2 linked regions of the Notamacropus eugenii genome follow. The protein of the gene in region 1 interacts with the protein of each later gene in a biochemical or structural test. Links are inferred from orthologs where the notes say so. Each region holds a gene or a part of one and is shown on either strand. Other genes may lie near its edges. The genes, in order: REPS2 and EPN1.

The links.
Region 2: the proteins of REPS2 (region 1) and EPN1 form a complex in vitro, tested with the Homo sapiens proteins (3 studies listed by BioGRID and IntAct, with this or other methods). The link is inferred for Notamacropus eugenii from reciprocal best matches to the Homo sapiens genes REPS2 and EPN1.

The regions. Positions count from the first base shown.
Region 1 is NC_092876.1:372,762,630-372,773,375, reverse strand, and holds the start of REPS2 (ralBP1-associated Eps domain-containing protein 2), read left to right. Parts: upstream 1-6,873; 5' UTR 6,874-7,038; coding exon 7,039-7,392; intron 7,393-10,746. UniProt on the Homo sapiens protein: Involved in ligand-dependent receptor mediated endocytosis of the EGF and insulin receptors as part of the Ral signaling pathway. By controlling growth factor receptors endocytosis may regulate cell survival.
Region 2 is NC_092876.1:18,166,922-18,177,161, reverse strand, and holds the start of EPN1 (epsin-1), read right to left. Parts: upstream 4,413-10,240; coding exon 4,185-4,412; intron 4,101-4,184; coding exon 3,851-4,100; intron 1,832-3,850; coding exon 1,707-1,831; intron 1,513-1,706; coding exon 1,438-1,512; intron 1,231-1,437; coding exon 1,147-1,230; intron 1,053-1,146; coding exon 758-1,052; intron 610-757; coding exon 490-609; intron 401-489; coding exon 314-400; intron 28-313; coding exon 1-27. Other genes in the region: U2AF2 (splicing factor U2AF 65 kDa subunit), read right to left, coding at 6,018-6,152, 6,320-6,568, 6,832-6,930, 7,139-7,261, 7,383-7,462, 8,879-9,017, 9,309-9,425. UniProt on the Homo sapiens protein: Binds to membranes enriched in phosphatidylinositol 4,5-bisphosphate (PtdIns(4,5)P2). Modifies membrane curvature and facilitates the formation of clathrin-coated invaginations. Regulates receptor-mediated endocytosis.

The sequences.
Region 1 (10,746 bases):
CAAGAAGTTTTCCTTCACCGCTCCAATCCTTATTGCTCTCCATCCCTTTTGAATTCTCCCAGTGCCTGCGGTCTCTGGCACTTAATACACTAATTTATACTAATTGGGTTTTTTTTACTTTGATTTATACTAATTTTTTTATTTTAATTATGTTTACTTTAGGATATTGTAAATCCTTTGAAGGAAAAGACTTTTTTATGCTTCTGTACTGCACATAATCCCAAAATTCTTGATCATAGAATATTTGATGCTGAGTAAATTATTGTTGATTGGTTTCTAGAGCAGAAAGAAAAAGAGGGCAGATCTAATCCGTCTCCATCACAGAAAATGCTGTACTTGCCACTGCTGTCAGTAGGAGGCAGAATGTGTAAGCAGGTAGTTGATCTGAGAATTCAATTCAATTTAGATTGAATTCCATTCAACTCACAGCATCTCAGAGGTGGAAGAAATCTAGTCTATTCTCTACCTAAATGTGAATCTTTTTTTTTTAACAACATACCAGAAGTGGTAATCTAGCACCTGAGGTTTTTAAGCTGGGATCCAGGAATTTGTATTAAAAATATTTTGATAAGTCTGTGGTGTCACTCTAAAGGCTTGAGAAGGAAAGGAAGATTAGAGAATTTTTCTGTCTGAAAAGGGAAAAAAAAAGAAAGTGAACAAGGGTAAGAGACAAAAGGAAGCAATTGGTCACTAGAAATGATACATCATAAAATGATTCCTTGATTTTGCAGATAACTGAGAATTAACTTCATGTCCTTTCTCAACTGCATGTATAAAGGGTTGAAGAAAGATCAGGACAAAAAAAGGTATCTTTTTTTCATATGCTGTAAGGCTCAGAGAAAAGTAGAAAACTCGATTCTGTTTTTTGGAAAAAAATTTTTTCCCTATGCTTCCCCTGCCACCCTCCCTTATACAGTTGTATGATTCTGTTGGCAGGAGGCAGAAGGACTTCACAGGAAATGTAAAAACAAAATCTAAAAGCAAACCTGGAATCTAGTGAAATTTTAAGTGTTTTCTACTTGAAAAATCTATTCATGACAACACTGACATAACTCCTTCCAAGGATTCAACTCAATTCAATTTGATAGACATTCATTAAATGTATAATATGTGCTGGGGATACACAGATGAAGAGTAACATAGTTCATGTCCTCAAAGACTTTATCATCTAAAAATATCCCAGCTACACAAATGAATATGGGATAAATTAGAAAGTGATAGGATTCCAAAGAATGATAAAGTATAACTTTTATACTTGAGTCTACAGTCTAGTAAGGGACATAAGAAACACATAAACAATTTTAGTAAAGGTAACCTGTGAAAGGGGAAGAAGTGTAAGACAATACTATGAGAGTTCAGAGAAGAGACTACATAATACACATGGAATTAGAGAAGGGGGAGATCAATGTAGGTGTCAAGTGATCTCTCATTTATCATCATATCTTCTGTAGAATCCTTGCAAGCTTTTAAACATAGTAGGGACTAAATCAACATTTCCCTAATCAATGATGTTTTTTATTATAATCCATGGCACAGAACCCTCAGGCTCTGGACTTATTTGGACTGGATTGAATTTCAGGGATAGTACTCACAACCAGTGACTAGTGTTCAGTGCCCCCAACCAGTTAAATCTAGGCAATTTCAGACTATAACTTAAATATAACTAATATCTAACACTCCATAGATGTGGTTAACATGATCTCTACCTCCTCTATAAGTAATCAAGATTAGTCAGTCAGTTGATCAATAATCATTTATTGTTGTTGAGTTATATCCAATTCTTCATGATCCTATGGAACATTGCATGCCATTACTGTCCATGGGGGTTGGCAAAGGTACTGGAGTGCTTTGTCATTTCCTTCTCTAGTGGATTAAGGCAAATGGGGTTAAGCCACTTGTCCAGGGTTACACAGCTAGGAAATGTCTGAGGCAGGATTTGAGTTCAGATTTTCCTGATTCCAAGCCCAATCCACTATCCACTAACTACCTCCAAACATTTCTTTTTTTAAATAACTTTTTTAAAAAAAAATTTTAAAACATTTTTATTTAAAGTTTTGAGTTCCAAATTCTATCCCTTCCTCTTCTCTCCCCTCCCTTAGATGGCAAGCAGTAAGATATAGGTATCCAGGAGCAATTATTTTCCACATTAGTGCAAGAAGACTCAACTAAAAGAAAAAAAATGAAAAAAAGGGGAAAATAGTATGGTTCAGTTTGTGTTCAGTCAATATCAGTTCCTTCTCAGGAGGCAGAGCATATGCATCATCATTAGTTCTTTGGAATTGTCTTTGATCATTGTATTGCTGAGAATAGCTAAATCATTTGTAGTTCTTCAGTGAACAACATTGCTGTTACTGTGCACAACATTCTCCTGGTTCTTTTTCACTTCACTACGCATCAGTTCATGTAAGTCTTTCCAGGTTTTTCATAAATTATTCTGCTTGTTATTCCTTATACACAATAGTATTCCATTATAATCATATGTCACAGCTTGTTCAGCCATTCCCCAACTGATGGGCATTCCTTTGATTTCAATTCTTAGCCGCTACAAAAAGAGCTGATGTAAATATTTTTTGTACAATAGGTTCTTTTCCCTTTTTTGGGATGTCTTTGGGACATAGACCTAGCAGTGGTATTGCTAGATCAAAGGACATGGCACAGTTTTATAGCCCTTTGAGCACAGTTGCAAATTGTTCTCCAGAATGGTTGGATCAGTTCAGAATTCTATCAGCAATGCATTAGTGTCCCAGTTTTCCCACATCCCCTCCAACATCCAATATTTTCCTTTTTTGCCACATTAGCCACTCTGATAGGTGTGAGGTGATACCTCAGAGTTGTTTTAAATTGCATTTCTCTGATCAATAGTGATTTAAAGCGTTTTTCAGATTAATACAGATAGCTTTGATTTCTTTGAAAACTGCCTGTTCATATCTTTGACCATTTATCAGTTGGGGAATGACTTGTATTTTTATAAATTTGACTTGTTCTTTATATGTTTGAAAAATGAGGTATTTAATAGAGATTGCGTTGCAAATTTTTCCCCTAGTTTTCTGCTTTCTTTATAATTTTGGTTACATTGGTTTTGTTTGTGCAAAAATGTTTTAATTTTATACTCAAAGTGTTCTTGTAACCAGAATTACAAAATTTACATTTTGTAATGCTCTCTGTATCTTCTTTGGTCCTAAGTTCTTCTCTTATCCATAAATCTGACAGATAAACACCCAATGTGATGGCTTTAATTTTCCCAGGATTGGAAATGTACTTGAGGATATTAGATGACAACCAGCGGCTTCCCATTGGATATGAACTTTATGTACAAATCACAAAACAGAACACAAGATAAAATGCAGGTCTTTGACTTGCCCATATTATGGATTAGACTTCCCTGCTTTTCCTTAAGCTTCGAGGGCCACATGCACCATTGTTTTCTCTCTCTAATTGACTGCCATTCAGTGCTCAGGAATTCAAGTTTTAATACTTGCCATCGGCCAATCTTTCATAAGCGTTTATTCTTTTTTTAACTAGTTTTTTATTTGAACTTGTAATGGCTCCTTATTTTTTATTTTGTAATTTAGAAGAGAATTTATATGGGTCTGTTTTGAGGAGAGCGCTTCATAAACTTTATAAACTCTAAAGTGATATATATATATATGTCATTTCTATTATATGTTATACTTTCAAGTGAAAATACTTTTAAAATTGTAAAGCCCCCGTGAAAGGCTGGATTCCAAGACTTGAATTTGGGGTTGCTAGTGAGGCAATCCTAAGGCAGTTAATGCTACCCAGGAACTCTCCATTTTTCTCAACCAAAAGACTAGATTCTGGGAACTTGCTATCCAGGAAATTCTTTCTTCCTTTACCCAATAAACTAGGATTCAGCAATGCTCAATATGTCTCTAGAAATTTTGGACTTAGGAACTCACCACTTTGATTATGGTTACCATAATGTTGAGAACATGTCTGCCTCTACCACGGGCTTCCAGGGCTAGGTCCAAGGAATGGGGTCCAGGAACACAAATCTGTCTGCTATTATTTCTGGGGCCTGGGGTGGGGGTGGTTGGTCAGTGCCTGAGGATTCAGGAAATATGCTAACAGGGAAAAAAGGTAAGAGATAGAGCGTGGGATAAAGATTCTGTTATATAGTCAGCAGAGAATGGGCAAAGGGAGGAGGATGGTGGCTCTTCCCACCAGACTCAGTTTGTCCCCTATAATTTACAGTGAGTTAAGAATGGGTCACATGGTCTTGTCACCTCTCTTCCTTGGGAGATGGTATCAAAGGTTAACCAACTTATATGCATAATAACATGTTGATCGGAAAACTTCCCTATTTAACTCCCTACATACGCTGTGTAGAAAAATTTTACATAGAAAACCTGCCACCAGTTTCTCTCCTCTTGTCTCTTAAGCAGCCAAAATAAGGAGACAAGTATTCTAATGTCTGGCTGTTTTGTTTGTTTAATAAATCCTCTAATAAAGTTCTAATATCTAATAATGTCAGCTTGGCCAGGAGGTCACCCAAGATTTTCAAAGTCTATGCCAGAGGAGATTAAGCCCTGGCTTGTTGGAGAGACAAGAGTATGGGCCATACATATGTGTGCATGTATCAGTTCTACAGGAACTAGCTTACAGAAACTATATTCTGAAAGTCTTATCATCAGGTTGGAAACAGAATGATGACTTTTTTTTCAATCATGCCATCTATTGATTTACCATCTACCAAGTGGTAGAAGAGTTGAGATCTGGGTTGGTAGAAGAAAGGCTTACAGAAATGAAATAATAGATCCCTGAAGTATTTGCCATATATTCATATCTCCCATTCTAAAATTTCTAAAGAGAATAGGCTGACAATTTTTCTTTCTTAAAAAGCCTAAATGGGACAAATGGTTCATTGTGTGTGTTGTTCTTTAACTTTTTCCTTTGGGTCAGAGACTTTTTCCTACCTCCCCACTGTGTGTAATTTAGTTTAATGACTTACTTCCTTTGAGGAATATTTTAAAATTTAAAGACACAGACAGGGGGTCACTTAGTCCCTTGAGCCAACCAAGTCTGGAAGAATGTCTTGATAACCTTACAAAGAGAAACTAGCTTAATTTGCATTAGGAAGGGGTTAAGATGTTGCTGCTACCAGAGTGGAGATTAGCAGACCCTCTTGCCTAGCCCTCTTAAGTCATTACTTACTCCATTTATATATTTGAAGATGTTCTAGCCCAGGATGGTTGATGAATAGAGGTAATTTCTGTGGGGAGTCATTCACATTATTTTAATGTCAGGAGAAATAGGGGAAGGTCTCTAGGCAGACCATCTGTGTTGAACTACAGGAGAAAATGAAGGAATGCTATGTAGGATAGAGATGAGCAGGCATCAATGGATTGTAATCTCCACTACTGGAATAAATAACCAAATCATTGAGAATAACACTCCATTTGGAGTGTTAGGGAAAAGAGCCCTACTGTTGCCCTACTCATAGGATCATAGATTGAGAGTTGGGAGGGATCTCGGAGATCATGGAGTCTAGCTCCTTCATAAGTGTTAGTTGTCCACTAGGAGTGCCTGGGTATGTGATGGGGAAACTGAGGTCAAGTTGACTTGCCCAAGGTCAAATAGCTAATAAGTGTGGAACCCAAGATTTAAACTAAGGCCTTCATGACTTCCTCTGTCCTCTTGTCAGTCTTTGATAAGCTCTGTTTTTTTTGGTATACCAGTTTTTATTTTTAAACAAAAATGATTCCTTCCAAGTCGTAAAAAATATAATAAAACTTACACAGCGTTGTTGTGAGGGTTGTATACTTCCTCCTGGAAAGTCTTACTCTGCTAGGTAAGGGAGGAAGAATGTACAGTATAATGGAAAGGACACAAGATTAGGGATTTAGTCCTAATTTTGTCACATCTGTCTGTTTAGGCTGGACAATCATTTCACCTCTTTGGACTTCAGTATTCCTAAAATCAGATTTTGGCTAGATAATCTCTAGCATCCCAGCTAGCTTTATGATACATTATTCCTGTCGGTGCCCAGCCCACACACACACACACACACACACACACACACACACACACACACACACACACACACACACACACACACACACACACACACACACACTCTCTCTCTCTTTCTTTTATTCTCCCTCTGACAGCGGGGCTCTAACCGTGTCTGCATTCTCCACGCTAGGACACATTTCTAAGAAGACTGTCCCCGTCCGAGTACTGAAATGGCACCACAAAAACACCAGGGTGACGCTTATTCATGATAACACATGATCCCATCCGTGGCCGCAAACATCTGTGTCGGGCATGAAGGACACCTGCTCAGACTCCGGGGTGGGGCGGGAGGTACCTCTCCCTAAGCCTGCGGCGGACAGACCACAGCTCGGTAGGTAACTGCACCTTCTCCTCGCTCTGGAAAGAGGCAGGGTAGAGCTCTCTGCCAGGCTGGGGGTGTACCATCTTCTCCATACCCCCTTTCTTGCCCCTCCCGTCCCCAATAGGTGTGTGCAGGGCCCGCAGGTGGAACTCCGGGCGAGGGGCAGGGGTGCTGGTCACCTGGGGCATCACAGCGGCAGAGCAGGGCAGCGGCTGCGCGCACAGAGCCCGGCGCGGAGGCTGGAGGCGGGGAGAAGGCTCTGAGTGTGTGCGGGAGTGTGGGAGTGTGGGGCTGTTAGTGGTCGCGGGCCCGGGGATCCCTGGCCTCTGATTGGCTAAAATGGCGCCTCTCTCTGTTTCCATGTGGTAGGAGCTGCCGCGGCACAACATTAAAGGAAGGGAAAGGGGGAGGGGGAGGGGTTGGGAGGCAGCTTGAAGGAGGAGAAGGAGAAGGAGACCTAGGGGACGCGGGCCCGGCGGCCGGCTGCTGGCGGAGTCAGGGTAAACGCTGCAGAGGGCTTGGGGGGAGAGAGGCCGGGGTGGGAGGTGCGGTGGCCGCGGCCGCACCAGCCAGCCCTTCCGCCTGCAAAGTCCAGCTGCCGCAGCTGTCCCCGGGGTCCCCGCCTCCCCGCGCGCTTCCTTGCCTTGGCCGAGTTCCCTTTCGCTGCTCGCGGGCGGCCCATGGAGCAGGGACCAGCGGCGGCGGCGGGGACGGCGGGGGCCGTCGGGGCAGCGGCCAACGCCAGCGCCCCTGCTGCGGCTGCGGCTGCGGGCGCCTTGTCGTCGGGGGCCGGCGCGGGCTACTGCCCGGTGCCCCTGCCCCTGAGTGACAGCGAGCAGCAGCGCTACTCCGAGCTCTTCGCGCGCTGTTGCTGTGCCTCGGCCACCTCCTCCTCTTCCTCTTCTGGACACGCTCAGCCACCTCCGGAGGTGGGCAGGGGAGCCCCGCTCCCCGGACCTGCAGCCGCCGCAGGGGCCAGCCAAGTGGGAGATCTGTTCAGGGCATCGCAGCTGCCCGCTGAGACCCTTCACCAGGTGGGTGAGGGAGCGCCCCCGGTGCCTTGTTCCGGGGGCCGGCCGGCCGGAGGAGACCGGGGCTGGGCAGATTGGGGGGCTGGGAGGGAAGGGGGCCGAGGAGGAGATTCGCAGGGCACTGACGAGGCGTGGACAGCGGGAGGGTGCCCGGGCTCGGACCCTCCTCCTCCCCAGGGCGGAGGGGTTGGGGTTTTCGCCTCCCTTGCCCACTCAGATTCTCCGAAAAGTTCAGCCGCCCACCCCCGAGGTTTTCAGTATTCCTCCCTCTCCACTTCCCTCAGACATTTTTGGGAATGTCTTGGTCTTTACCTTAGGGACCGAAAGTTTGTTGGGTGCGGGGGCGGCGGTGGCTTTTGTTTGTTCGCCTCTGTCCCTCCCTCTCCGGTTCCTCTTCTCTCGCGAAGAACTTGGAGGACGAATCCAGAGTGCGTGGGAAGGGGCGAATAGGAACTGGGAGAGGAAAGAAGGGCTGTGTGTCTGTCTGTGTTTGTACAGCAGGCTTCCTCTATCTGGGCTCTGGAGCATTGTTACTCCTCAGACTACGCTGGCTCTTCCAGAAGAGCTTGAGACTTTCTGGGTCAGATTAAGTTAGTTGGAGGGAGACAGGGGAAGGCCAGGCTGTTGACTGATGGTTGAGGTTTACGTTTCTGAACGCTTGTTCCCACTTGGACGCTCCAGACCTTCCATGGATTGAAGTCTTTAGGAACATATGCTCCGCCTCCTCTTCTGCTGAGACCAGGTGGGAGGCTGATTGAGAGAGCCCGAGGGCTTTATTTAAATGGTGGAAGAAAGCCCATCGGGCACCATCTTTTTTTCTCTGATTTTCTTGTTCAGGTGCAAGTGCTCTTTGAGCCCCGTGGGTGTTCTGCTGCAGCCCACGTTTGGTGGTGTGGTATCATTTTGAGCATCCAGCTGTGAGCTGGAGAAGGGCCTCTGACATATGGAATATAAAAACTTCTTACATTAATTTGACTTTAGCGTACTCAGAATACTCACCTGAGTAGTGTTGTGGCTAGACAATGGAATTGGTAACACTGTGACAAGGCAGATAAATAATCTTTCTCTTTTAAAAGTTTGTAGGTATGTATCACACAGTTAAGTCCTTTATGCACCCATGTTTATCCAGTCTTCCTTTAGCCAGTGTGGTTGGTCCTTTTCGCTCCCATCTGCAGAATTCAGGATTGCTTTTTCTTTCAAAAATTATTATATCAATGATATTAGCAGTAACTTGGACCTTTGTTCTGAGTTCAAATACAACCTCTGAGAGTTACTAGCTGTGTGACTCTGGGCAAGTCACTTATTCTCCATTTTTCTCAGTTCCCTTTTCAGTAAAATGGGGATGATAATAATAGCACCTACCTCTCCAGGTGTTTGTGAAGATTAAATGAAATAATATTTGTAAAGTACTTAGCACATTGCCAGCACATCGGAAGTGCTATATAAATAGTAGCTATGATGATGTTGATAAGACTGATTGAGAGGCACTGATGTATAGTGAATAATATTCTGGAGTCTAGGAAGATCTGAGTTCAGGTGTTGCCTTAGAAATGTATTAGTTGTGTGATCCCAGGCAAATCACTTAACCTCTGTTTGCCTTAGATTCCTCATCTGTAAAATGGGGATAATAATAGCACTTAACTCCCAGGGTTTTTGTGAGGAACAAAATAGACAGTCATTGTAAAGCTCTTATCACAGTGCCACGTGCACAGTAAGTAGGCACTCTGTAAATGTAGCTATTACTACTACTACTACTACCACCACCACCACCAACCCCAAATTAGCACACTCATTCTTGTTGCTGGACTGACTAGGCTAAAAAATACGTACTTTTAAATCTTCTTTTCCCACAGGTCTTAGGCACATCATTTTATAGGTAAGCAAACCATGTCACCTGAAGTAAAATGAGAACTCACCCCAGTTATATGGATTCAGAGAATATCTTTAGAAAGTCACTTTGAGCCCATAGTGGAGTGGGGGTGGAGGGATGGGAGGAGGAAGCTGCTCTCTAAACACAGATCTTTATTATTAAAATTAAATAAGGTTGTAAGAATGCCTACCAAACCCTTATTAAATCAGCTTGATAACACCCACAGGAAAACTGAGAGATAGAATACTCTACCACCTTCTCAGTTATGGGGGAAGAAATGACAGGACCAAACAAAGTAGGTCACACAGTAAGTCAGTGACAAAGTTGGGAACAGCATCATGTTGTGGTGTCAAGAAATTCATAGTGTGATGGGTGAAGGTGGGAGCGGGGGGGGGGGGGGGGGGGGAAGGAAACATTAAATTTTACCATGTTGTTTGTCAACTTTTGCCTTCCTGAGACAGGGGGACTTTAAGGATGTGAGTATCAAAGTTCTGTTTCGAGGTGTGTGTGGTTAAAAAGAACCTAGAGCATTTCCTGTATGAGTGGGTAATGTCCAACATCTTGATGACTGAAAGAAATCCATTTAGAGGAGATTTCTTGACCTCTCTCAGATGTTAGTTTATGGGGCCATTTCTAAATAGATGTGGTGTACAACACATGTATGTGTCCCTCTCCTCCAACTTGTTTTTTTTTTTTAAATAAAGACAAAGTTAGATTAAAATGAACATCAAGAGCAGTCATTTAAAAACAACAACAGTTGTAAGTTACTTCCATTTCCCTTGACCGTTGCTTGGTTTGTGTTAAGGATTGTTGCTCATGATTTGCTTTACCCTAGGTGTGGCTATTAAGATCCTAGTCACTCTATTAAGTGAATTTAGACATTCTTCATTCTTAACCTTTTCCCCCTATCTAACAGAAACCAATAAGTTTAGAATTAAGTGGACGAACAGGTATGACTACTTAAAGCTGGAAGGCCTTAAACTTCTCAGGCTGTTTCTATGGCAACAACCACTTTTCTCTTCCCCCCTTCCATCAGCATACAATTAAAATTTACAAAGTGTTCTGGAGCTTTACCTGCAGAAAGTATTCTTAGTACCAGAAACTTTCTTCCCTCTTCAAAATTGGTTTTCCGATTGAATTTTGTATCTCAAAGTAAAAATGAAACATATGCCTGTTACTTCATATGACATGCACATGTCTAAAAAGTTATGTCTAAATTAAATGATAATTTAGTTGCCTTGGGGGAACTCCCATTTCAAAGAGACTCTGCTTAATATCTTTTAAAATAAAGTAATACTGGGAAAAGTTTTTTCTTTTCTTTCTTCTCTTTTCTTTTTTTTTTATTTTTGCAGACAAACCTGTACTAGAAAAAATGTAAAATGAAATAATTCTAAACCAGAAAGATAAAATATGAAAGCCTGGGAAATATTTGTTAAGAGTGTTAGTCTTAACATATTAAGGTAACAAAAATACTGGTTAGAATTTCT
Region 2 (10,240 bases), about 350 Mb from region 1:
CCTCTCCTGCCAGAAGCTCCAGCTCCCCTGGGGGCGTAGAAGGGAAAGGAGCTCAAGGGCGCCCCAGCAGCATGGGGTGAGGGATGGGGGTGTGGTTCAGAAGCCTTGCTTCCCACCCCCCATGGCCAAAGATGACCATAGCCATGCGGGCGACACCTTGCTACACTGCACAACTATGCAGTGAGATGGACATCCTTCTCCATTTCAGAGATGAGGAAACTGAGGTTATGGGCCATAGTTAGGGAGAACAAGGACTGATACCACCCTTGGCAAGCAGCCTCCCCAGGTGGATCAGTGGGGCAGATTGGCTCACCGGTGCTGCTGCCTGAGGCAGGCAGTGCTGTCCGAAGGCGATCAAAGTCAGAGAATTCATCTGGCTCTGCATCGAAGCCTCCAGTCGCTGCATGGGACAGAGCAAGCTCTGGGGCCTCCAAGGCACGAGCCCCTCCCCCCCAACTCAGGCTGTTCCAGCCCCTCCTTCCCAGCTACCTGGGGTGCCATTAGTGCTGGGCTTGGCTGGGGAGCCTCCCCACGGGTCTGAGAAGGCTGGTGCTGGTGCCCATGGGTCAGCAGTGGTGGATGGGCCGCTGACTGGGGCCCCACTTGGGCCTGAGGACAAGATCAGGGGAGTGCGCAAGAAGGCAGCACGGGGGTTGGAGGGGATGAGTAGGAAAGGACCCCCCCCTCCATGCCCCGCAAAGAGAGATTCTGTAGTTGGGAAAGAACAGAACTAGAGACTGACAAAGTCAGTACTTACCATCAGCTCCCCCCCAGGGGTCTGGGGTCCCCCCCTCTCCAGCAGGGGGAGCAGGGGGGCCCCCCCAGGGATCAGCTGCAGGGCCTGGGGGTGGGGTAGGTCTCCAGGGGTCCCCAGAGGCAGGGGTGGGAGCCGGACCCCCCCAGGGGTCAGCTGAGGGTGGGACAGGGGGTCCTGGGGGCCCCCCCCAGGGGTCAGAAGGTGGGCCAGCTGCAAGGACAGGACCGCCCCAGGGATCAGAGGAGGGTGGGGGGGCTGGGGCTGTGAAGACATCAGCCAGATCCATGAGAGACGACTGGGGAGACAGAAGAGATCAAATGTGAGAGAACTGGGTGTGGGGGGAGTATAGAGAGACCCTGCAGAGCCCCTCCCACCCCAGGCCCCCTCACCTCCTCCTTGCCCCCAGTCTCTCTCTTGCTTTCCTCAATGGCCATCTGCAGTCTCAGGTCATCGCCCCGACGAATCCGCTCCTCCTGGGCGATGTGGGCACCCGGACGGAAGACAGAAGATTAGGACCGGCCCCCACATACTGGCCCCCCAACTTCCCAAGAACCCTTTCCCCATAAAGGTAACCAGCAAATAAACATGAGGGGATGGAATGAGGGGAGCTGAACGCCTGCAGCCCGGGGTGGGGGGTTTGGGCCTTGGGGATGGGGGGGAGGCGGGGACGTGGCTCTGACCTTGTCATGCTCCTCCCGGCTCAAACTAAGGGCCAGCTGGAGCTGGACGTCATCCTCAGGGCCACAGGGTGGGGGCTGGCAGGGTGGGGAGAGAGAATGTGAGGGGGGCGGGGCAGGACCAAGAAAGAGCTGCAGAGCCAGGAGAGCCAGAGAGAGCCTGAAAGAGGCTGGACTGGGGGCTAAGGAAGTGAAGGATGAGGAAGATGGAGAGGAGATGTGGCCAAACCCCAGTGCACCGCTGCCCCCCAGCAGGCCCCCGCCCCCGCTACCTGGTCAGCCTCTTCCTTGCTCATGGCCAGGGCCAGCTGCAGCTGTAGCTCCTCCTCCCCACTACTCTGGGGCCAGGCCTGCTCTGCCTCTGGGGGCGCCCCAGACCCCACAGCTGCTGAAGATGCTGCGGAAACAATGGTGGGAAGGGTGGGACAGGGCCTAGCTCCAGGGAGGTCCCCTCCCACTAAAGACAGACATCCCAGGTCTGGTCCTGCCCCCAAACGCAAGAGAGAACACATGATGGCACCCTTGTTAGCTATGTCCTCATCTCCATGCTTTCCTTCAGCACCTCTGCCCCCACTACCAGGCACTCCCTTTGGTCAGACTGCATGGACTGGCCTGGGCACAAGGTCTACGGAACCTGAGAACTTGGGGGAGGGGGGAACGACTGCTTTTTCTTTGCATCCACAATGCTGAGCACATGTGGTGTCCAACACGTAGTAGGTACTCCAAAAATGACTAAGACAGGAAAATACCAGAAACAAGAATCAAGAGAGGAGATGGAGCGGAGGATGGAAAAGGGACAGCAAAAAGTGAAGAGACGGAGATAAGAGAGAGAAGCAGGGAAAAGAAAAGACACAAGGAAGAAAGAGAGGAAAGAGAAGCAGAAACATGGAAACAGGACATTCAAGCCTTTTGGGAGAGGAGGGAGGAAGGCCCTGCCCAGGCTCCCCAGCTCCCCAGGCGCCCTCCGTCTCAGGCTCCCCAGCTCCCCAGGCGCCCTCCGTCTCAGGCTCCCCAGATCCTCTCCGTCTCAGGCTCCCCAGATCCCCAGGCTCCCCAGATCCCCAGGCGCCCTCCGTCTCAGGCTCCCCAGATCCCCAGGCGCCCTCTGTCTCAGGCTCCCCAGCTCCCCTCCGTCTCAGGCTCCCCAGCTCCCCTCCGTCTCAGGCTCCCCAGCTCCCCTCCCTCTCGGGCTCCCCAGCTCCCCTCCGTCTCGGGCTCCCCAGCTCCCCTCCGTCTCGGGCTCCCCAGCTCCCCTCCGTCTCGGGCTCCCCAGCTCCCCTCCGTCTCGGGCTCCCCAGCTCCCCTCCGTCTCAGGCTCTCAGGCTCCCCAGCTCCCCTCCGTCTCGGGCTCCCCAGCTCCCCTCCATCTCAGGCTCCCCAGCTCCCCTCCGTCTCGGGCTCCCCAGCTCCCCTCCATCTCAGGCTCCCCAGCTCCCCTCCCTCTCGGGCTCCCCAGGCGCCCTCCGTCTCAGGCTCCCCAGCTCCCCAGGCGCCCTCCGTCTCAGGCTCTCAGGCTCCCCAGCTCCCCTCCCTCTCGGGCTCCCCAGCTCCCCTCCGTCTCGGGCTCCCCAGCTCCCCTCCCTCTCGGGCTCCCCAGCTCCCCTCCCTCTCGGGCTCCCCAGCTCCCCTCCCTCTCGGGCTCCCCAGATCCCCAGGCGCCCTCCGTCTCAGGCTCCCCAGCTCCCCTCCATCTCAGGCTCCCCAGCTCCCCTCCGTCTCGGGCTCCCCAGCTCCCCTCCCTCTCGGGCTCCCCAGCTCCCCTCCCTCTCGGGCTCCCCAGGCGCCCTCCGTCTCAGGCTCCCCAGCTCCCCTCCATCTCAGGCTCCCCAGCTCCCCTCCCTCTCGGGCTCCCCAGCTCCCCTCCCTCTCGGGCTCCCCAGATCCCCAGGCGCCCTCCGTCTCAGGCTCCCCAGCTCCCCTCCGTCTCGGGCTCCCCAGCTCCCCTCCGTCTCGGGCTCCCCAGCTCCCCTCCGTCTCGGGCTCCCCAGCTCCCCTCCCTCTCGGGCTCCCCAGCTCCCCTCCGTCTCGGGCTCCCCAGCTCCCCTCCCTCTCGGGCTCCCCAGCTCCCCTCCGTCTCGGGCTCCCCAGCTCCCCTCCCTCTCGGGCTCCCCAGCTCCCCTCCCTCTCGGGCTCCCCAGCTCCCCTCCGTCTCGGGCTCCCCAGCTCCCCTCCCTCTCGGGCTCCCCAGATCCCCAGGCGCCCTCCGTCTCAGGCTCCCCAGCTCCCCTCCGTCTCGGGCTCCCCAGCTCCCCTCCGTCTCGGGCTCCCCAGCTCCCCTCCCTCTCGGGCTCCCCAGGCGCCCTCTATCTCAGTCCCAGGCAGGACCGCACCCCAGGCAACGTCTGCGGCTGATAAAGAGGAGGCTGCAGCGGGGCTGGGGAAGACGAGGAAGCCTCCCTCCCCTGCGGGCTCTCACCCGTGGCCGTCTGGGCCAGCTTCTCCTTGGTCTTGAGCGCGTGGGCTCGCTCCTCCCGCAGGCGGTCCTCGTCCCGCAGCAGGGCCACCAGCTGCTTGGCCTTCTCCCGCACGTTGACGCCCTGGTCCTTGCCGTCCCTGTCCACGTACTGGAAGTCCTTCAGGGTCTGCACCGCGTACATGTTCTCCTTGCACTGCTGGGACACGCGCTCCGAGCCGGTCTTGATGAGGTACTCCATGAGCGTCATGGCCTGAGGGCAGCAGGGGGTGGGCCCGGGGCAGCTCGCAGCGCCCCGCCCCCCGCCCCCCGCCCCCCGGCCCGGGGCGCCCCTGACCTTGTACACGTGCCGCCAGTTCTTGCCGTGGTCGTTGAGCCGCTTCCAGATCATGCTCATGATCTCCGAGAAGGCGACCACGTTGTAGGTGAGGTCAGCGATCTCGGACATGAGCGAGCTCGAGGGCCCCCAGGGGTCATTGCTGGTGGCCTCGCGCACCTTGATCTCCGCCTCCGAGTAGTTGTGGACGATGTTCTTCATCTGCCGGCGCAGCGACGAAGTCGACATGGCTGCGGGGCCGCCCCCGGGGCCGCGGGAGGGGGCCAGGGAAGGGGGAGCCGGTCACCGCATCTGGGGGCGCAGAGGCCGAGAGAGGCGCTGAGGCGGGAAATGGGTGTGCACCGGAGGGGGGGGGCCACCCACCAGCACGCTCGCGGCCCCCCGCTGTGCGCAGACCAACGCCAAAAGCCCCTGGCCCCTCCCCACCGCCAGGTCCTTGCACCTCCCAGGGCCCGGCCCCAGGGCCTCCGTCCAGCCCAGAGAAGCTCAGGAGAGACAAGGCAAGGCCAGGAGCCGGGAGGGAAGAAGACGCGGCGACAGCTCGCCCAGGGCCTGGGCAAGGGGGGGAAACTGAGGGAGAGCGCGGCAGGGAGGGGGCAGAGCGCAGGGGCAGACGGGCCGAGCAGGGCCGGGGTCCCAGAGGGCACGGGAGGGGTGGGGGTCGACGCATCCACATGGGACCCGGAAACCTCAGACAGAGCCGGGGAGAAGACCCCGAGACGGGGGACGCAGGGACGCGGCGGAAACAGAGAGGGGGAACCCCGCCCCGCCCCCCTCACCCGCTCACCCCGGGAATCCTCGGGCTCCGGCTCCCGGGAGGGGGCGGGGGGCAGCCGCCGAGCGCAGGGGAAGCGGCCGGGAAGAGGACGGCCGGAAGCGGAAGTCGCGCCCCGTCCGCTTCCGGCTTCCCTCAGCTGGCCGCCCGCCACGTCACTTCCTGTTCAGGCCCCAACCACCGAGAGGAGAGCGGCTAGAGCGCCGCGCGCTGGGGGCAGGGCAAACCGAGGGCTGGAACGGAGCATGCAAGCCGCCCCTCCTGGAGACGGAGTGTGCGGTCCGGTTCGGGATCCGGCAGGGCCCTCCGGAATTGGCCCGAAGCTTTTACAGATGGGAACACTGAGGCGGGCGGCGAGGCACCGCCTTCCGAACCCCGGAGCCCCGCCCCCATCGGCCCCTTCACTCCGGGGAGAACGCCAAGTGCGTCAGTGACGTCACCACGACAGGTGTAACTGACGGGGGCAGGGGGAGGGGCGGTCGCACCCACACCCCCGAGTCAACACTGGACGCTCCGTAAAGTAAAATACAACAAAATGTTTAATGAGCAAATTCGTCTTTAGCAAATATGAAACTGCCAGGAGAAGGGGGGCGGGGCGGACAGGAAGGGGACGGGCGGAGAGAAACAACATCTCTACTACATAAGAAACCATCACGGGAGGGGGCGGGGTCCCAGGAAGGGGCGGGGCGGGAAGAGGAGCTTTATGGTCCTGGGCGGGCAGAGGTCGAAGGTCAGGAGAACAAAATTGAAAAAGTTTTGGCCGTAAAATATAAACACGCTATGTTGCTACCGCGAGGGGAGGAGGGGGGCCCACCCCACCCCCCCAATGCCCTCCCCCATCCCCCATCCCCGTGTGTTCGTGTGTGTATTGTGTGTGTGTGTGTGTGTGTGTGTGTCCACACCCCAGCCCCTCCCCTGCCCAGGGCTTCAGCCCCCGGCCTTCGGCCTCCGAGGCGCCTCTTCCTCCTCTCCTGGCCAGGGTCGAGTGAGGGGGAAGGGATGGGGGGGTCTCCCAGCCAGCTCCGGCCCCCTGACCCGGCCCCCCTCCCCGGCTGCTTCTACCAGAAGTCCCGGCGGTGGTAGGAGTCGGGGTCGCAGTACTTTGTGACAACCACTCTGTTGGCGAACTTGCGGCCAGTCAGGCCCTGCATGGCCTTCTGACAGTCGAACACGGACGTGAACTCCACGAAGATCTGCGGAGAGAGCGCGGGGGCTGGGGCCCGGCCCGGGGTGGGGGGGGGGGGCTGGGGTCCGGCCGGGGGGGGGGGGGGGGAGGGCCCGGCCCGGGGTGGGGGGGGGCCGGGGCCCGGCCCGCGGTCTGCTCCCACCCACCCGGGCCACGTGCAGGGCTCCTCCTGACCTTGCCGCAGCCGGGGACCTCCACACCGTCCACAGGCCGGGGGATCTCGATGGACTTGACCACCCCGTACTTGCTGCACTCATCCCGGACATCCTCCACGATCTCCTCATACTCCTCGTCGTCCAGCAGCTCCTCGGGGAGCACCATGTTCATGAGGCACAGCACCTCCGTGGGGTGGCCACCCATCTGCACCTGTGAGCTCATCAGGCCAGGGACCTGGAGCGTCACCGGCGTCTGGTTTATCGTGCTCTGTGGGGGGCCACGGGGAGGGAGGGGTCAGGCCACAGGCCTGGGAGCCTCGGACCCCTGCCCGCCATCGCTGCTCTAGCTGACCCCCCTCCTCCTCCCCACTGCTAGACTCCACACCCCAGTGGGACACCCACACCCCCCCCACCTCCCCCAGGCTGCTGCCCACCCTCTGCCTGGCCTGCCTGTCCACTCGGCTCCTCCCAGCCCAATCCCACCCCCCCTTCCACCCCCCAGGGCCCCCTAGCCAATGGAAGATGACGTGCCGAAGGGCTCACCAGCGTTGCGTTCTTGGCTCCCACACTAGCCCTCTGTACCAGTAGCTTCTTATCCCCCAGTTGCATCCCGTTCAGCCCCGCGATGGCCTGCAGGGGGTGGGGTGGGGGTGGGGCGGGCGTGGGGGGAGTGTGGGTCAGGGGCCAAATTCCCCAACCTCCCCCTACCCCTGACTGGAGTGGGGGCAGGGGCAGAAGGGCTGTTCCCCACCCATCCCAGGGGGCTGACCGACCCTCCCTGACCCCCTTAGCCCAAGCACACAGGGACCACTGGCAGAGGTCCTCCAGGGACACTCACCTGGTCAGTGACGTTGATGTCCACGTACTCACAGAAGGCATAGCCCTTGGAGAGGCCCGTGGCACTGTCTTTGACCAGGTTAAAGGCTTTGAGCGGCCCAAATGAAGTCAGCAGTTCCTTTACCTGTGGTGGAGAAGTGGGGGGTGGCGGGCGGGCGGGGTGGAGGCGGGGACGAAATGGAGCGAGTCAGGGGAGGGAAAGCAAGAGGACAAGCAGGTGACAGGGGAAGTTGGCAGGTGGTTACCTGATCATCATTCAGGTAGTTGGGGAGTCCCCCAATGAACAGCTTGTGAGCAGAATCTGGGACCACAGTGGACACGACACCTGCAGGAATGGAGAGGGGCAGCCCTTCAGTGGGAGGTCACTTCGGCCTCCAAGGGCCTGGGGAGATCTGGTTACATGGGGTCCACACCGCTGCAACCCACCTTCTGCTCCAAACACCCAGGAGCAGCAGCAGAAACCAAGAATGTGACTAACCTCTGGGACACCAACAAACACCCCTCCCCAGGATGGACATTAAACATCTGGTTAAACACCAACTCTTGTTACAGAGGGGGACCAGGCCCAGCAGGGTGCCCTGACCAGCTGGAAGGGCCTGTGGAGATCTCAGCTAATCCCACCATGGCTGTGACCATGGGCTAAGATGACTGCCTCAGAGCAGCAACCCCGGCAAGAAGGGCAAGGTGAGGCACAAGTGTGAGACCAGCCCACCAACGGCACTCACGGCAATCAATGCCTCCTCCAGCCACCCGGCCTAAGAAGTGAAGAGCAGAGCCGGCTAACACTGAAAAAGCCAACTTGAGATTCTGGGGTTTTCTAGATTCTAAAAAATGGGGAGTCACTGGCTTTAGGGCCAGAAGGTCCTTGCTGGGCATATTTCTAGTGAGGGGTATTGAAAGATTGTCGATTCTAACCTCCTTAGGGCACAAAGGAAAAAACTAAAAGCTTGCTTAAGGTCATGCCTGAGAGCAGCAGAGCAGAGACAGTGACCCTGGATCCCCAAGTTCAAGGCTCTGGCAGAAAAACCATACCAGTGGTCACAACAACTGTGCAAACTGAGGCCCAGGGACACACAAGAAGGGCTGGGCTTAGATCGCAGCATTTGGTATGCAGAGCTTCCTCAAAACACCTCAATCTCATGCTCAACAAAGACCTTACTTGACTGGCTACCAGTAAGATCTCATTCTTAAGCTAAGACCCATGAGTTAGGAGAAAGAGCAAGAATAAAATGCCCAGGGAGTGTTTGCCTAGGCTCTGACCTGCCCGCAAGGAATCTCCTACAATATTCCAGAAGGGTTGCCCAGGCTGAATGATGTGCCCCCTGCTCTCCCCTGTGGAGCCCTGAAAACATGTGAGTGCAGAAGGAAGCGCGATCTGCCGCCTCCTCCTTCCCCCAAATGTTCTTTATCATCACCAAGCTCCTTCAACCTTCTTCCTTGGGTGTCCTGCCTCTGGACTGGCCCACCTCAATAGCCTCTGGGTACTTATTGGCCAGCTTAGTTCTAAAATACAGTCCCCAGAACTGAACCAGGCTCCTGCCAGATGTAAAGTGACTAAAATAGGACTCTTGTCCTGGGCTCTGGACACGAGGCCTTGGACCACCTATTACAATGGCTGGGGCAGCATCTCACCCACTCTTACTGAGCTTGTGGTCTACCCAGACTTCCAAGGCCCTCCAAAGGAGTCCCAACTAGGGATTACCACGGCAGGAAGGGTTAAAACGATTTAGGGCTCCCTCACCGGGCACGTAGACAGAGGGGTTTTCAGACATGCCAGGCAGTGGCTGGTAGTCATGGGGCCTTCGGATCTTAAGTGATTGGCCCTGGAAGATGATGCCATCAAAGGCCATGGCCTGAGTCGTCTCATCCACTGATCGGAACTAAAAGAAGAAAACAGAAATGTGGCGCTGTAGATTATCAAAAGCTCATTACAATGCCCTCCCTCATCTCACCGTTCATTGGGAAAATGGAGGAAGAGAGCCGTACGAGGCCACAAGTTAGCAGCACAACTGGTGACAAGGGCAAAGGAGTTCAGAGACTACCCAAGGTAAGAGGTTGGGGGAGAACAGACTTGGCCGAGGTTCACTCACAGGGAGTTGGGGAATAAACTGGATTTCAGAGCACCCTCTTCAAAACACCTTATGGCCTCTAGGTTCCCCATTCCAGCTTACCTCTAGGAAGGCAAAGTTCTTATCCTGGTTTATCTGCACGGCCAAGACTGGGTTGCCAGGGGCCTGAGTAAGCCCCCCTAAGCGCATCTGGGCGTTGAAGAAATCCATCATGGCTTCCTGCAGGGGGAGAGGAAAGAGGGGGGGGCAGGGGAGGTGGAGAGAGGAGGGGTGGGGTGAGAGAGGGAGACACGGAGTGGGGGTAGGGCAAGGGGGAAGGGGGTGGGAGGGGAGAATGGGGAGATTTGGGATTTGAAGGGGAAGATAGGAAACCGTAAGAGAAAGGTAAGAGGCATAAAGAGAAGCAGAAAAGGGTTACAGAGAAAGGAAATACTCAAGGTCCCAAAGAGAAGGCCCAAGAGTACAGAAAGAAACGTGAGAGAGGGAGAAAACAGAAGAAACAAAAGGGATAGAGAAGGAATCGTGGCAGCATAAAAAGAAAAAAGGGGGCAGAAAGCGCCAAAAGGACCAGGGGAAATGATGTCAGGAAGGAGGAGGAGGAGCAGGGCAGAGCAGGGACACCGCCGAGAAGGGGCCAAGATGACCCAGGTCAATGGAGGAGTGTGAGCAGCAGAAGGGGAGGAGGGCGAGCACAAGAGCAGACAAGGACAGAGAGAGGAGGGAGAGGACGGGGAGGGGGAGGGAGAGAAGAGTGATGTGGAGGGGCCTGGCCCTGGATTCCGGGGGCTAGTTTATCAAATGTAGCAAAAAGCGCAGGTTTGAGAAAAGCCAGAATGGCCCTTACTTGCCTTGGACGACGGTAGCAAAATTGCTACGAGGGATCTCAGCCCCACAATTTTCACTTTAAAGAGAAATGGAAACAACTCTTTGATCTGGGGATTCTTGGGGCGGAGGGAAAGGGGGGGGAGAGGGATGCGGGATGGGGAATGGGGCCAAAAAAAACTGCAACGACGGGAGGGAACAGGGGAAGAGAC